Linked DNA regions of Elephas maximus indicus. Each later gene encodes a partner of the first gene's protein in a complex. Links are inferred from orthologs where the notes say so. Each region holds a gene or a part of one and is shown on either strand. Other genes may lie near its edges.

The links. Proteins that work in one complex are often made in the same cells at the same time.
Region 2: TAF4 (region 1) and TADA2B share a complex: the UniProt entries of both Homo sapiens proteins name them as parts of the TFTC-HAT complex. The link is inferred for Elephas maximus indicus from reciprocal best matches to the Homo sapiens genes TAF4 and TADA2B.

The regions. Positions count from the first base shown.
Region 1 is NC_064843.1:5,834,547-5,842,228, reverse strand, and holds the start of TAF4 (transcription initiation factor TFIID subunit 4), read right to left. Parts: upstream 3,045-7,682; 5' UTR 3,016-3,044; coding exon 2,790-3,015; intron 2,715-2,789; coding exon 1,821-2,714; intron 1-1,820. UniProt on the Homo sapiens protein: The TFIID basal transcription factor complex plays a major role in the initiation of RNA polymerase II (Pol II)-dependent transcription.
Region 2 is NC_064823.1:164,952,047-164,958,951, forward strand, and holds the start of TADA2B (transcriptional adapter 2-beta), read right to left. Parts: upstream 3,088-6,905; 5' UTR 3,032-3,087; coding exon 2,762-3,031; intron 1-2,761. Other genes in the region: CCDC96 (coiled-coil domain-containing protein 96), read left to right, coding at 3,542-5,044. UniProt on the Homo sapiens protein: Coactivates PAX5-dependent transcription together with either SMARCA4 or GCN5L2.

The sequences.
Region 1 (7,682 bases):
TTAGCACCCGTCCCACCCTCACCCTCTGACAGGTTAACCCTCCTCCTCTTCTAAAACTCCAAAATTGTTCCAAAGCGACAAGTCCTGCTCCAGAGAGCAGGAGGGGCTGCGGGGGCGGGGGGCGGGGGCAGCATGGGCAGTGCTGTCTTCACTACTGCCACCCTCTACTACAACTGGACCCACCCATGTGACCCGTGAGGGCGGAGCCTCGGCCGAGCCCACAGTCCTGAAGCTGGGGGAGTGGATGGGAAGGAGGAGGCGACTCCTTCTAAGACCTGCCCCAGGCTGGCTGCTGAGGGAATCCCTCACTGTCAAACTTCAGCTGCAGGGCCAGCGGCAGCCTGTGCAGCGAGACGCTGAAGGCTGAGGCAGCTGCTGACCCCAGAGCCTCCCTCTGCAAATGTTCTGGGTTTGAACCACTCTCAGACCCACTGGAGCGTCTGGAGAGCCTCTGACCACCAACGGCTTCCAGAGTTGCACAACTAACCAGGCAGTCCTGACAGTGTCTCTGCTGAACTGAAAATACTGACAGCGTAACAAGTCCAGCTAAGATGATACTCAAGCATGGTTTTCAGACAAGGACGCGACCAGGAAGGACATGTGCCGGGAGGATTGTGCTCAGGCTGAACGGGAGGCTGCAGTGTAGGGGGCCCCATCACCGCAGGCAGAGTGCACACCTCGCCAGCTCCCAGAGAGAGGCCACCCTGCTGCGACAGCACCTTTAGGAGGGGTCTCTCCAGCCCACTGTCGGGACCTCTAGAGCCAGATGGTAAAGGAGCAGGAAGGAGCCAGGTGGGGACACAGGCCAGACACCAGGAAGGGGAAGCCTGACCACCCAAGCTCCAAGTACACTGTGCTCCCGTGACGCCCAACCTCTGGACAACCTGTCCCTGCAATCGCTGCTATTGCTGCCCATGGGGGCAGGGGCACGCAGGGCCAGCCACCCAACTGCGAGTCTGCCACAACCAAACAAGCAATGCAGGACACGCAGTGACAGACCAGGACGTCACGGGTGGGAAACCCACAGCTGCACTGGGCATGCATACGCACACACACCCACAGAGGTGTACTATGCAGAGGTATGATATACACACAGCACACACAGAAGTACATGCACACACACAAGGGTACCTACAGATGCAGGTATACAGGTACAGAGAAAGGTGTGTTACACAGACGTGTACCTACATGCAGATGTACATACACACACAAGCGCACGTACACAGAGGTACGTTACACACACGGGTACACACAGATGTACGTATACACTCGGGTGTACATACACTCATACACGCAGGTATACATACACACGTGAGTGTACATACCTAGTCAGAGGAACTCTACACACACAGAGGTGTGTACACACCCACGGGGTAGATAAGCACACACAAGTATACATGGACGTATACTCATGCCTGTATACACACAAAAGTACCTACAAACACAGATATACATAAACACACACAGACATACACACACATACATGTATATACACACAGGTGTACGTACACACAGATACATAAGCAGGTAATTTATGCACACACCCGAGCATGTACACACATATCCAAGTGTACACAAACACATACATGTACCTACACACACGTGTACATACATGCACACAGCCCTAGCCCGGGCTGCCACAACACCTTTTTAGAGGCTACTACACCTGTGCAGCCCCAGCCCCTACACCGCAGCCAAATAAATCGCCGCCCGCCCTGTAGGACACAGGTGACCTTAGCGTCTCCGTGAGTGAGTAGGGGTACTTCCCGGAACTCCGCGGCTCGCAGACCCGCCCCTGCCCGCGGGGGGCGGCCACTCACCTGGGGGCAGCTGGAAGTTCTGGATGTTGGTGGGGTTCTGCGGCGGCTGCGGCAGGCGCGGGGCCAGCACGGTGGGCGTCAGGGTGGCCCGGAGGCCGGGCGCGGCGGCCGTGGGAGTCCGGGGCGGCAGGCTCGGGGCGGCCGCGCCCTTGGGCAGCGCGGCGGGGGCGCCGGGCGCGGGCGGGGGGCCGGCCGGCGGCACAGTCTGCCCGAGCAGCACGCCTGCTCCCGCGCCCGCCGGACAGCTGGCCGGCAGCGTCTGCGGCGGGGGCGCCGCGGGCACCGAGGTCTTCGGGGACTCGGCCTTGGCGGCCTGCGCCGGCGGCGCGGCGGCAGGGGGCGCGGGGGGCGCCGGCTGACTGTTCACCAGAGGGGCGGCCTGCAGGGCCGGCGCGGCGGCGGCGGCGCCCCCCGCCGGCGCGCCCCCCGCGCCCAGCGCCGCGCCGATCCCAGTGCTGCTCCCGTTCTGCGCGGCGGCGGCCGGGGGTCCCGCGGGCGTGCCGGACGGCCGGGCCGGGGCGGCGGGGGACGCGGCGGCGGCGGCGGCGGCCTGGATGACGGAGCCGGCGGGCTGCGCGGCGCTGACAGCGCCCGCTTTGGCCGGGGGCGGCGCGGCCGCGGGCCCGTTGTTGACCGGCGGCGCGGCGCGCAGCGAGTTCACCACCACGCTGCTCCCATTCAAAGTTTGCACGGCGCCGGGGCCGCCCAGCTTGCCGGCGCGCAGCGCGGGGCCCGCGGCGGGGCTGGCGGCAGGCTTGGCCGGGCCCGCGGCGGGGCTGGCGGCGGGGCCGGGCTCGGGGCCCGCGGCGGCCGGGGCCGGGGCGGGCGCCGGGGCGGGCGCGGGGCCCTCGGACGGCGGCGGGCGCGCGGCGCCGTGGCTGGCGGCTCCGGGCCCTGCAACAACAAGGAGAGAGCGGTGAGGACGCGCGGCGGCCGCGCTGACAGCCCGCCCCGCCTGGCCCCGGCTACCTGCTGCGGGCCGCTCCGGCGGGGCGGCCTCGGCGCCGGCGCTCCCGGCGTGGTTTCCGAGCGCGGCGGCCGCGGCCCGCGCGTCGGGCCTCAGCGGCAGGTGATGGTGGTGGGCCGCGCTGGCCGCCAGCTGCGACTCGAGCGAGCCCACCAGGTCGCTCACCACTTTCTCGTCCACCTCGCTGTTGAAGAAGACCTCGTCCAGCAGATCCGAGCCCGCCGCCATCTTTTTTCCTCGGCCGCCGCCGCCGCCGCCGCTCGGCCGGGGGGGCGGGGCGGGGCCGCGGGCGGGCGCCAGTGCGCAGGCGCAGCCGCGCGCACCGCCCCCGCCCCGCCGCCCGGCGGGCGCCCATTGGCTGCGGCGCGCGCTTAAAAGGCGCGACAAATGGCTGCAAGCGTTAGAGGCCGGGGCGAGGGCGGGCGGCCGGTGGGCTTGGAGCTCGGGGCCGGGCGGCGGGTGCGGGGGGCGGACGGCCGGGTCGGGACGGACTGCGGGGACGGACGAGGCCGGCCGGGGGTGGCGGCGGCGGCGGCGGCCAGCTCTTTGTCTCCGCTCGTTCCAAAATGGCTGCGGCCGAAGCTGACTAGAGCGGGCGGGCTGGCGGGCGACGGAGCGACGAGGGGCGGCCGGGCAGTCCGCCCCGCTGCCGCCGCTTGGAGAGCTCGGGAGGCCGCGCCGGGCGCCACGGGGAGCACGGGCGGGCCCGGGAGCGGTGGCGGAGAGCAGCACCCCGGCTCGGCCGCCATTGCTCCCCGCCAGCGGGCGAGGCTCCGGGCCGACGCCGTGACCGGGCGTGCAGGCCGGCGGTGCTCGGGAGGACGGCGGGGGGCCAGGGGAGCCGGGGCCGGGAGACCCCGGCAAACGCACGGGGAAGCGCCGCCGGAGGGGCGCAGGTGCACGCCCCGGAGACCCCCGCCGCCTGCCGAGGTCTTGGCGGCACCGCTTAAAGCAGGGACCACCAAACGCGCACCGTGAGGGCCGCAAGAGCGCCTGGACACCCCCCGGTAGCCGCTTCTGAGGCACCAGTGGGTGGACGAGGCCTACCGGCCAGACGCGATCACCGGGATGGGTGACATCCGGCGGACAGAGGGGGCAGGGCGGGGACAGATGTGTACAGAGGGGCGACCCTCGCCGGTGGTGGTCACCGGAGGGCGGGCCGGCATCGTGCGCGCTGGCACCCTGAGGGCTATTTCTCCTGCAGTAAAACATGATCGCACTCGGCTGGGTGCAAGCAGCCTTCTACCCTCAATGCTGGGGAACGCGTGGGAACTGGGGCTGGGGGGCTGCGGGGCTGGCCAGACTGGCGGGTCCTGGGAACCGAGTCTGCGCGGACTCCCCTGCTTACCCTCCAGCTGGGACTACCGTGGGCCTTCCCCTCCACTTTTAAGTCAATAAACGAAGTTCTCCGGGGGATGGGACTCTGAGGCTCAAAGGTGACTGCCATGTAATGACCACAGACCCCTCCCCCAGACAGAAAGGTAAGTAGACCAGGTACAAAATAAAATTCGCTGGTATGAAGCAATGGCTTTTGGAAGTACTTTTCTGCTCTTTATTTACTTTGGGCAGGGGAGGGAGAGGTAAATGACCCAAAATGATGTTTAGGAGCCCCTCTACAAAAATATTAAAGTTCCCTTTTTCTGAGTTGTTTTGGTTTTTTTAACCAAAAGACTCGTGTTATTGGAGATTTTTAATGGTTTTCTGATTTTTTTCTTTCTTTTTTTTTTTGTAAAAGCCCAAAACAGTTTCCGCAGAGAACTGCTTTCTCAGTCACTGGCAACACGGAATCACAGGACCTGTCTTTATTGCTGAAGAGACAGTCACCACAGTAAACACCAGTCTCAGCACAGCCAGTGTTGACATAGTAAATGATTTTTCTAACTGCCTTCACAAAAGAGACTGCTCAGCTCTCAAAAACAGAGCCTAAGGGGGTGGGTGGGTGGGTGGGTGTGTGTGTTCCTATTGCAACCTTTCAACCTAACCGACCTATTGATAACAAACACACGATTTTTTCTCCAGGTTTTTTCTCTTGAGAGCAGCAGTAGATAATCATAGCGGATGTTGGAACCAAGGAAAGGTGTCTGGGCAGGGGGTGGGGAGTGTTTTGAATTTTAAACCTGAGTTTTAGCCCCCAGAAGGCAAGGCTTCAGAAATATCCTGAAACTTTGAAAGTAAACTCAAACAAATAAAGATCTTAGCCTAGCCCTTGTGATTCATTCAGGTATTTTTCGGCTCTGCTGTAGAAAGGTCAGGCAGGAAAGTAGAGGAATAAAATGAGCTGGGTTTGAGGAGGCCCCAGGGTGCACCAGGGACTGACCACTGGGGACCTGTCCCAGTATCCAAGGGGCAGCCGGGAGCTAAGAAGACCTCAGCAGGGCAGGTGGTCTGAATCTTCAAACAATAGAAGAAATATGGAGTCTTGTGAAAATCTCTCAATTTTTAAATGTTGACAACTATTTAGAACATTTTGAAGTAGACCAGACAAAACCCATCAGCTGCCTGGTGCCAGCCCCGTGTGCAGCCCCTCAGAATTTAGAGTCAGGAGCAGAGGAATAGCAGCAGCCAGTCCACAGGCAGGACTCAGTGCCCCATGAAGGTGTCACCATACCAGGGTGAGGCCCCGTCACAGGCTCAGGGAACTTGGGCTCTCACATCTGCAGGTCTGCCAATGCAGGAGTGAGAGCTCTGCTAAAGGAAAGGTGAAGACATGGGGTGAGTTGGGGTACAGTGGGTGCTCAGCACTGAGGCCTTGCTCCTGTCAGTTCCCTCCAGCCAGCTGGGCTCCATATGGGCTGGCCTCCAGCTCAGCGTCTGACCAGCCTTCTGCCACCAGGCTTGCCTGGGGGCTTCTCCTAGTCAGGGTGTGCTCCAGCATCGATACATTTCCCGACGTCACGTCAGAGTCTGCCGGAACAACCTCAAGTCCAGCAGTCGCAGGAAGTGTAGTAAGGTCATGGCTCTGTACCCACCCAGCTCACCTCCCTTCCCGGAGGGTCTTCTGCTACTCCCCAGACAGACAGCACACTTTGAGAGGTCAGCTCTGCTTCACCTGGAGAGCACTGCCCACCCAGCAGTTCTCTCCTGATGGGGCAGAGGTGGGCGAATATTCGCCAACTCTTCCGCCCTGGGGACTCAGGCCAAGTGCCTCTGACCATTTCCATCTGGCTTCACTTGGGGCCACAAAGCATCTTGGCTTCTGTGGTTTGCAGGGAAACTCACATCTAGCGTGAAAAGAGGAGAGAGGGATGAAACACGTGTGATATGTGACCACAAATGCTGCGTTGGAACATGGGTCAGGTTTGCTACAAAAGAGAGTTAAGATCCCAGGGCTGCACACCCTCGCTACTGGCAAATGTGCCAGGCTGTGAGCATAAGTGCTGCTTCCCAGGCCAGCAGGTTTGTGGGGCCTTTAATTTATTAAGCAATAAAATGAGGAAAAAGCATGAGACACACAAATACAAGTTTTATCAAGACTCCATGGTTTCAATGCTGGGCTGTGGGGAAGGTGTGCAGTGGCATGTCACCTATACTTTCATTCTCTGTCTGCAATATTACATGATAAAAACAAATTTAAAAAAAAACATGGCTAGATGGCCATTCACCTGGAGGACTTCACCACCCCAGCCAGCAGCACTCCTCAGCCCTGCAGACAGGGATGCTCGAGAACAGATCCGCCTGCCAGGACAGCTTTGTGAACATGTCTCATGACTGATCTGCAAATGCAGATGGCCAGTCTGTCCACTCACAGGGAGAAGGCCTCTCAGAGGTCAGAAGGCACTCGGCCCGATGGCCCCTTTGCCCCAGGAAGCAGGCAGGGGAACCTGGAGAATTAGGCAGTAGCCTCATGGGTAGATCTGGGGTGGAGCCCACCCATCTCAACAGTCCCCTTTCTGGCTCTTTCTTGCCAAGACTCTCTCACCAGGGACAGTCTCAGGTGGCCTCCAATAACAACAGCACTCACTGTGTGGCAGGTTTAGCCTCTTCCAGAGGAGGGAGCCGAGGCTTGGAAAGGTTAAGTAAATGGCCCAAGACATTCCCAGTGGGGGCAGAACTGGCATTGAAGAAACCTGGGACCTGGACTCCAAAGTTCTGCTCAGGCTGCCCCGGCTGACCAGCCCCTCTGGTCCCTCTCTCTAATGATAGTAGGACATCACTGATTAGAAGTCCACTCACTAAATTATAACCACAGACTGGCTGGCTTCTGCTCTGAAGTTGACCCAGATCTCCTTGATGGGGGCCATGGGTGTCTGCAAACTCTTGAGTGACTCATTTACAACAGTCTCTTGGCCTACTGCCATAAATGGCTAATTGCAGCCATTGTGGATGGGTGTAACTGGTTTAACTCAGAGAGGAGCTTACTTCAAAGTTCAGGAGGGAAACTGCCCTCCTTAACCTCACTCCAGCAGGTCGATGTTCCCTAATGTCTCCTTTGCCATCCCAAACTGCAGTCAAGTAATGGCCTTACTTTCAAGTAAGGGGAGCCCTAAGGCACCTCAGCTTCTCCCTTAACCTGCAAAGCTGCCACTCTACCAGCCTCTACTTTCTAAGCACAATGCCCATCGGGTGACTTATTAGAATTTCTTGCTGCTTTGGTTAATTCTTAACTGGAACTTGTCCCTCATTCAACCCAGGTGCTCAGTTTGTAAAGCCCTATGACTTCATTCCAGGTGGTTTGGAAGATGCACCAAGCCTTAGATTTTGTCATTGGTATTTAGTAAGTATCAATTGCTCAGATGGGATGTATGAAGCTAAGATTTAGATATTGATCTTTAAATGTCAATTTCAACATAAAAAATTAAACTTTTAAAATGAGACCATTTGCAAGAGTACCCAAAAAAAAAAAAAACGCAATATAAAACAAAAAGAAGTACAAGACCCGTAAACAGGAAATTGTA
Region 2 (6,905 bases), on another chromosome or scaffold:
CCTCGCGGAAAGCGGCCTTGAATCCCACTCCCCAAGAGTCCTCCTCAGATGGCTGCAGCCCCAGACTGAGCACAGGCCACCTGCGTGTCACCTCCTATCTGCTGGTCCAGCAGGGCTGTCACGCAAGGCTCCGGTCCTGCACGGTGCCCGGAGCTGGCTGCCGCGGCTCTCAATGAGCCCATTGATCCAACTCCGCGGGCCACGGTCCACCTGACAACTCCTCTCCACCACAGCCTCGTCGTCACAGACGCCCCGACACACGGTGGCAGACACATGCATGCTCACGTCCCCAAGCCTCGCTGCCTCCTGCTAACACTCATCAGCTGGCCCCGCGGTCCCTGCCCTGGTACTCAGCCACAGCTCCATCCTCTGTGAATCCCAGACCAAACAGGTCGGTGTCATCACCTGCAGCTGGGAAATCAGGGCGGAGACCTCCTCCATTAACTACATCACTGGCCTCGATTCCCACACCACCCCCTCCTGTGTGCACCCACACTCAGCCCTACCCTCCCCCAGTGCCCCGCCCACATGCACCCTCCCAAGCCACCAAGAGGTGGTCTCCTGTCAGCCCTCCCAGCCACCCACACCTTCAGCAGCACTGACAGCTCACAGTCCCTGGCCCACATCACTGAATGCTCCTAAAGGGCGAAGGCCCAGGCTTTGGAATCAGACAGGCCCGCGTCCAAACCCTGCCCCCCTCATGAAAAGGAATGGCACCCTGGACAAGTGGCTCGACTTCTGAGTCACTGTCATTCAACTGGAACCACAAACCGTGAAGACCACGAACACACGCGTGTCAAAAGCCAGGCCCAGTGACTGGCACGTGGAAACAGGTCCTAAAAAATGATCGCTCACGCGCACATACACGTACACACGTGTGCACATGAGATAACCACAATCCAAAGCTGCAGAAGAGCCTCGGGTGAAGAACGGAACCCAGGGACAGAGCGACTGGCCCAGGACAGCACGGCCAGAGAGGAAGAGACCTCACTACCTGGTCTACGCAGCCGAGGCTTGTTAGGAATACAGATATTCAGGCCTCGCCCTGGGACCAAGACCCAGTCCCAGCACTTTAACAGGTTCCCCAGGTGACCTGTGTACACACTAAGCCTGGGAAAGATTACTTCGGAAAAGGCCTCCCCACTTCCAGCCCACGCTTCTTCCAACACACTACCCTTGTCTTCATTTCCAGCATCTTGCTCTTGTGCAGACAGTGTGGTTAGGAGCTCCCACGCAGGGCTGCTGGGAAGTCTCCTGAGACACTGAGAACCTGCAGGTGCCAGGCACTCACAGGCTTGCAGCCCACCAGCACCTTAGCCACACGAAGGAAGATGGCGTGCGGAGGGTGCGTCTTGGTGAGGCATGGACATCCAGTAAAAAGACTGTGGGAGGGCAGTAGGACAGAAAATAAAGAATGATCCCGGAGGGCGGGGAGCGATGAGCCCCACTGGCCGGGGGTCTAATCTGAATGGACCTGGGAGCCTGGGAAAGGCAAGAAGATGCAGCTTGTTTTTAAAAGGTCACTCTGGTCACGGCACGTGGAGAGCTCTGGAGACATGAATGATGGGGACCAGCTCGGAGGCTCCACTGGGACACAGAGAGCTTCTGGGAGCCCATCTGGAGAAGAACCCCTGCTTCCCTCTCTCAAGGAGCCCCCGGCTTCCCTCTCTCAAGGAGCCCAACAAGCTACCCTGCGGTGTAAGTGAAACCAGAACAGCTATCACCTCCTCCTCCACAGAGAAAGTCTTTACTGACGTGTAAGGTGGGCAAACACCCAGGACCCCTGTTCCTCCTCCAGGACCCTCTGCTTGCCATTTACTGACCACTCACTGCACAGCATCCTGGGTATCTTTCCAGCTGCTGTCAAGTCGACCGTGACCCCCGGCAGCCCCGTGTGTCAGAGCGGACTGTGCTCCACAGGGTCTTCAGCGGCTTATTTTCCAGAAATGGATCACCAAGCCTTTCTTCTGAGGCGCCTGTGCGTGGACTTGAACCTCCCACTTTCTGGTTAGCAGCTGAGCACATTAACCATGTGCACTACCCAGGGACTCCCTGCGTACTGTAGGGACCCACAAAGCTCACACACTAGCATGGCGCAAACCACCACAGAGAGCAAAGGGAGCCACAGACACAAAGCAGACAAGCCCCATGGTATCTGTGAGGCTTGCTGTCCTCCCACTGACCTTCCTGACCATTCTGTCAAGTCGGTGAGGCGTACCTCCATGACCCCTACTCAGCTACGATGCCAGGTCCTGCCGTCGCCTGCACTCAGTAAATCCCTACTGGAAGTGTCCTGAAAGGTCAGGAAGGGGGCTCTGTGGTCAGCAAGCCCCAGCTCCTGGCGATGCGGTCTCGGGCATATTACCTTAACTTTGCTGAGCCTCAGTCTTCCCGTCTCTAAACAGGCTATTTGTTGGCTGTGCCTGCCTTACCAGCCTTCAGCGGTGCAGTAGAAATGAGTGAGTCAAGTGGTCCTTTTCCCTATCGGGGGGAAGCCTTCCCCAGCAGCGCCCAAAGCTGGGACGCCCCTCCAGGGAGCTGACAGTGGGCCTGAGGTGAGCATCTCCAGCCCAGGAGTCAACGTCTCCAGCCTGGGGTCCCCAGCCCAGGGTCCCCCTCCCGGGGTCGGGTCTCCACCCCGAGGTCTCCGTCCAGGCGTCGGGTCTCCGCCCCGAGGTCTCCGTCCAGGCGTCGGGTCTCCGCCCCGAGGCCCCCGTCCCCCGGTCGGGTCTCCGCCCCGAGGTCCCCGTCCCCCGCTCACCCAGTTCCCGAAGCCGAACTGCTCGATGGCGTCCAGCAGCAGCTGCTCCTCGCGGCTGGTCCAGCCGCCCTCGGCCTCGGGCCCCCAGAGCGTGAAGCGGCCGCCGTCCACCAGCTGGTAGCCGTGGTAGCGCCGGTGGTGGCCGATCTCGGCGCCGGCCGAGAAGCACTCGGGGCACAGCTCGATGTCCTGGCACTCGGTGCAGCGGAAGCGCAGAGGGCTCACCTCCGCCAGGCAGTACACGCAGTACTTCTTGCCGAGCTCCGCCATCTTCCCGCGGGGCGCGCCGCCGACAGCCCCGCCGTCGCGCCCCCCGCCGCCGCGCAACCGCCGCCGCCGCCGCCGCCGCCGCCGCCGCCGCCGCCGCCGCCGCCGCCGCCGCCGCGCCCAGCCGCTCCTCAGCGCGCAGGCGCCATCGGCCGCCGCCGCCGCCGCGCCGCACCGCGCAGGCGCTCGCGCGCCCCGACCCCGCCGCGCCTGCGCACTGCCCGCGCTGCCGTCGCCGCCTGGTGCCGCCAACGCCCGACGCCCCGCCCAGGCCCGGGCTGCGAACGGGCGGGGCGGAAATGAGGCGGAGGCGCCACGCCCCCCGCGGGGCGAGACGGCGCCCTCCTCCAGTCGGACCTGGCCGTCGTTCTCTCGCGGCCTCCCATTGGCCGAATCGCACCGGGAGGCGGGCCGAGGGGGCGGGGCGCCGGGCCGACTCCTGGCCAATCGTCGGGCCCGCGGCGGGCGCCGGCGGTTGCCCCTGGAAACCGAGCCGCCGGCAGTGGGTTGGAGATGGCGGACGACGCTGGGGACGCCGGGGGCCTGCAGAGCCTGAGCCCCCAGACGCCGGCCGAGCCCGCCGAGCCCGAGACGGCTGAGGCTGCGGTCGGGGACGGCGCCGCGGCGGAGCCCGAGGCCGTGGAAGGGCCGGCGGACGGCGGGGCCGCGGCCGAGGCGGCGCCCGAGGAGCCGGGAGCTCCCGCGGAGCCCGAGGCCGCGCCGGACGACGCCGAGCCCGGGGAGCAGCCGTCCAGGCCGGTCTCCGAGGCCGGCTCCGAGGGGCCGCGGGAGGAGGCGGCGGAGGCCCCGGCCGCGCCCCGGCTCTCGCCGCCGCCTGCCGGCGAGGAGGAGCCCGCGGCCGCCCAGCCGCCCGAGGTCGCCAGCGGGGACGAGCGCGAGGCCAGCGAGGGCCGCAGCCCGGAGGGGAGCCGGGCGAGGAGCGCCGAGGAGCTGCGCGGGGGCGCGGGCCGGGAGGGCGAGTGGAGCGAGGAGGTGCGGAAGCAGCAGGAGCAGAAGCTGCGCGCCGAGCTCCTGGAGCAGTACCGCGCCCTGCTGGTGGAGCGCAGCCGCTACCAGCGCCACAACGTGCACCTGCAGCACAAGATCCACGACGCGCTGCGCAGGAAGAAGGGCCTCGACGCGGCCGAGGCGCCCGACAAGGCCCCCGAGCCCGAGGCCCCCGAGAAGGAGCAGGTGTATCTGCGCTACCTGGCCGCGCTGGAGGAGCTGAAGAAGCAGCAGGCCGACGACTTGGACTGGTTCCGTCAGGAGCTGATCCAGCTGAAGAAGCAGTGCCAGGAGAAGGTCGCCAGGGTGGAGAAGGCGTGGCGCGCCTTCCAGGCCCTGAAGAAGCAGGTGGTCCTGCAGGCCATGGGCAGCTGCCGGCTGCGAGGCGGGCGCCAGGCCGCCCTGCGGGAGGTGGAGCAGATCCAGGCCCTGGAGGACAAGAAGGAGAAGGAGATGAGCGCCGTGAGGCTGGAGAACGTGCAGCTGAAGCAGAGCTTGGCGCACTTTGAAACCAGGATGAGGACCCAGGGAGACCTGACCGAGGGCTTGCTCCTCATCGATTTCGAACAGCTGAAGATCGAGAACCAGACCTTCAATGAGAAGGTCGAGGAGCGCAACGAGGAACTTCTAAAGCTGCGTAACAAGGTGATCAACAACGTGCAGATCATAACCCACGTGAAGGAGAAGCTACACTTCGTGGAAATGGAGAACATGTGTAAGAAGTCCCAGGTTTTGGAAATGGAGGCACGCGTGGCCCAGAAGAGAGACATCCTGACCAAGACCAAGCAAGCCCGCGACAGCCTGCGGATGGACAACATCAGGCTGAATCAGAAGTGCGGGCTTCTGGGCAAGGAGCTGCTCCTCCAGGACATGGAAGAAAAGGTGGAAAAGACGGAGCTGCTCAACCAGCGCCTGGAATCCCTCAAGCGCCACCACGCCGGGCTGGCTTTGTCCTGCAGGGGGGTGAAGCAGAAAATCAGGGAGGCCAAGGCCTTTCTCCCCTCTTGAGACAGTGGAGGAGAGGAGCTGGCCTGGTGTTTTCAATGCCGCACAACTTAATCTCCGTGAACTTTGAGTCTCCAAATGCTGTCAGTCCTGTGGAATTTGGGGTGGGACACGTTTGTGTTTGTATCATAATTTCTCACGTCCAAATGAGTGCTGAGCACAGAATTGGGTTAGCAAACAGTTTTGTATGGGGTTGAGCAAAGTGGGTCCAGAGAAACAAACAACGGGGTTGGTTTCGTGTACCCGAGTGCCCTTTATATCTGAGCAGTTCCCTAGTTCCAGCGACCCAGAACTAAGGAGTACTGCTACTCTACCACGTGGAGGAAGGTTTCAAAGTTGAGCAGATGGGTGGGTATAAAACAAATGCCTTTAAATTAAATTGTGCATTAAAGCTATTAAACTTGCTTTGAACTTCTTATTTTGTAGTCCTGAGTCACTGCCTGAGATGCTCACTGGTTCCCTTATTCCCAAAGTTATGTAAAGTGTTGTGTATGTAATCAGCATCAGCTGGTGGGGCCCTGAAAATATCCAGGGAGCAGATGATAAGTAGGAGAAGCCACTGCTGTCCTTTGGCTGCCCCCATCTGCAGAAGGGGGACTGCTCACCATTACGGTGTGTCTCAGGCTCTACAGCAGGCTTCACCTGTACTGAGACGGCCTGTGGGACCCTCTGAAGAAATGGCTACGTGTACTGAAAAGTGCAGTCTGGTTTTCCAGTGAGAACAAAATGATTGTGTAGTGTATATTTTGCCAAGTATATGGAGGGGGTGCCTGCTGATGTCCATAAATCTTTTTTCCCAGCAAGATATTTTCAAATCTTGACAACAGGACCTTCACTATGCATATGTTACTGGGAGATACTTGAGTGTCTGTTACGCCTCGTGAGAAATACATACTAGTTCTCCTCTTAATCAGAATCAGTGATTAACATTTTCTGTTTTCCTTGATGCTGCTGCAGCTAAGAGCTTGGTTTCATTTCCTCTAAACCTTAGACTGAATTTTGAGAGGTGCAGATTTAGGGTTAGAAGTATGCCCCCATTGGTAAACTTCACTGGACCATAAGAAGGATGGTCTCTGGGCAGATGCTGCAGTTGGTCCAACAGTGTTTATAGACTTCGTGAGAGTGTCTTCTGGTGACATGGTCTTATTTTCTAAAGTGTTTTCCACTTGAAGCCAATAAAGCTGATTAGAATTCCTTTTCTAACTTCTGCAGCTTGAATACACTATTTTTGATAATATTATTGATAATATTACACGTGAATGTAACCATGGGTAGGGGGAGCTTTGACTTCATGCTTCCATTCTTGTCATCTGCAATTTTGTTCTTTACCTGTTCTTCAAGACCAAAGTGAAATTAGATCACTGGGAAATAAATGGGACTTTGCTTTCTTCGTGCCTCGAACTAAAAGCTGTATGTGCCCCCAGCATTCTTTCATGGGTGGGAGGCTTCCAAGTGACATTGGCACAGACACCGTGACTTGCCAGGCCTGTGGCTTGCATCATACTACCGTCCTTGACTCCTTTGGCTCCCCCTAGGGAGAGTGGGTGTTTTCAGCTGATTTGACCCATCGGCAATTACCCAGATCCAACCAAGAGTTCCTTCCACCAGTCTTGAACCCAATGACAAGTAGATTTCTCAGAGCACAAAGATAAAAAGGAGTTTGAGAAGGGTGGTGTTGCTCTAAGCTGCAGAGCAAATCTGTCCTGAGTAAATGAGCATGTGGACAGTTACCAGTGTCCTCGCAAATGATATTACTTCATGCTGGACATGGTGCCATCAGTCAACCTTCTGCTGACTGCCTTACAATGGGTTCTTCCTAATTAAAGCAGAGAAAAGCTCTTACTCATGAGTTAGCAACCCATTC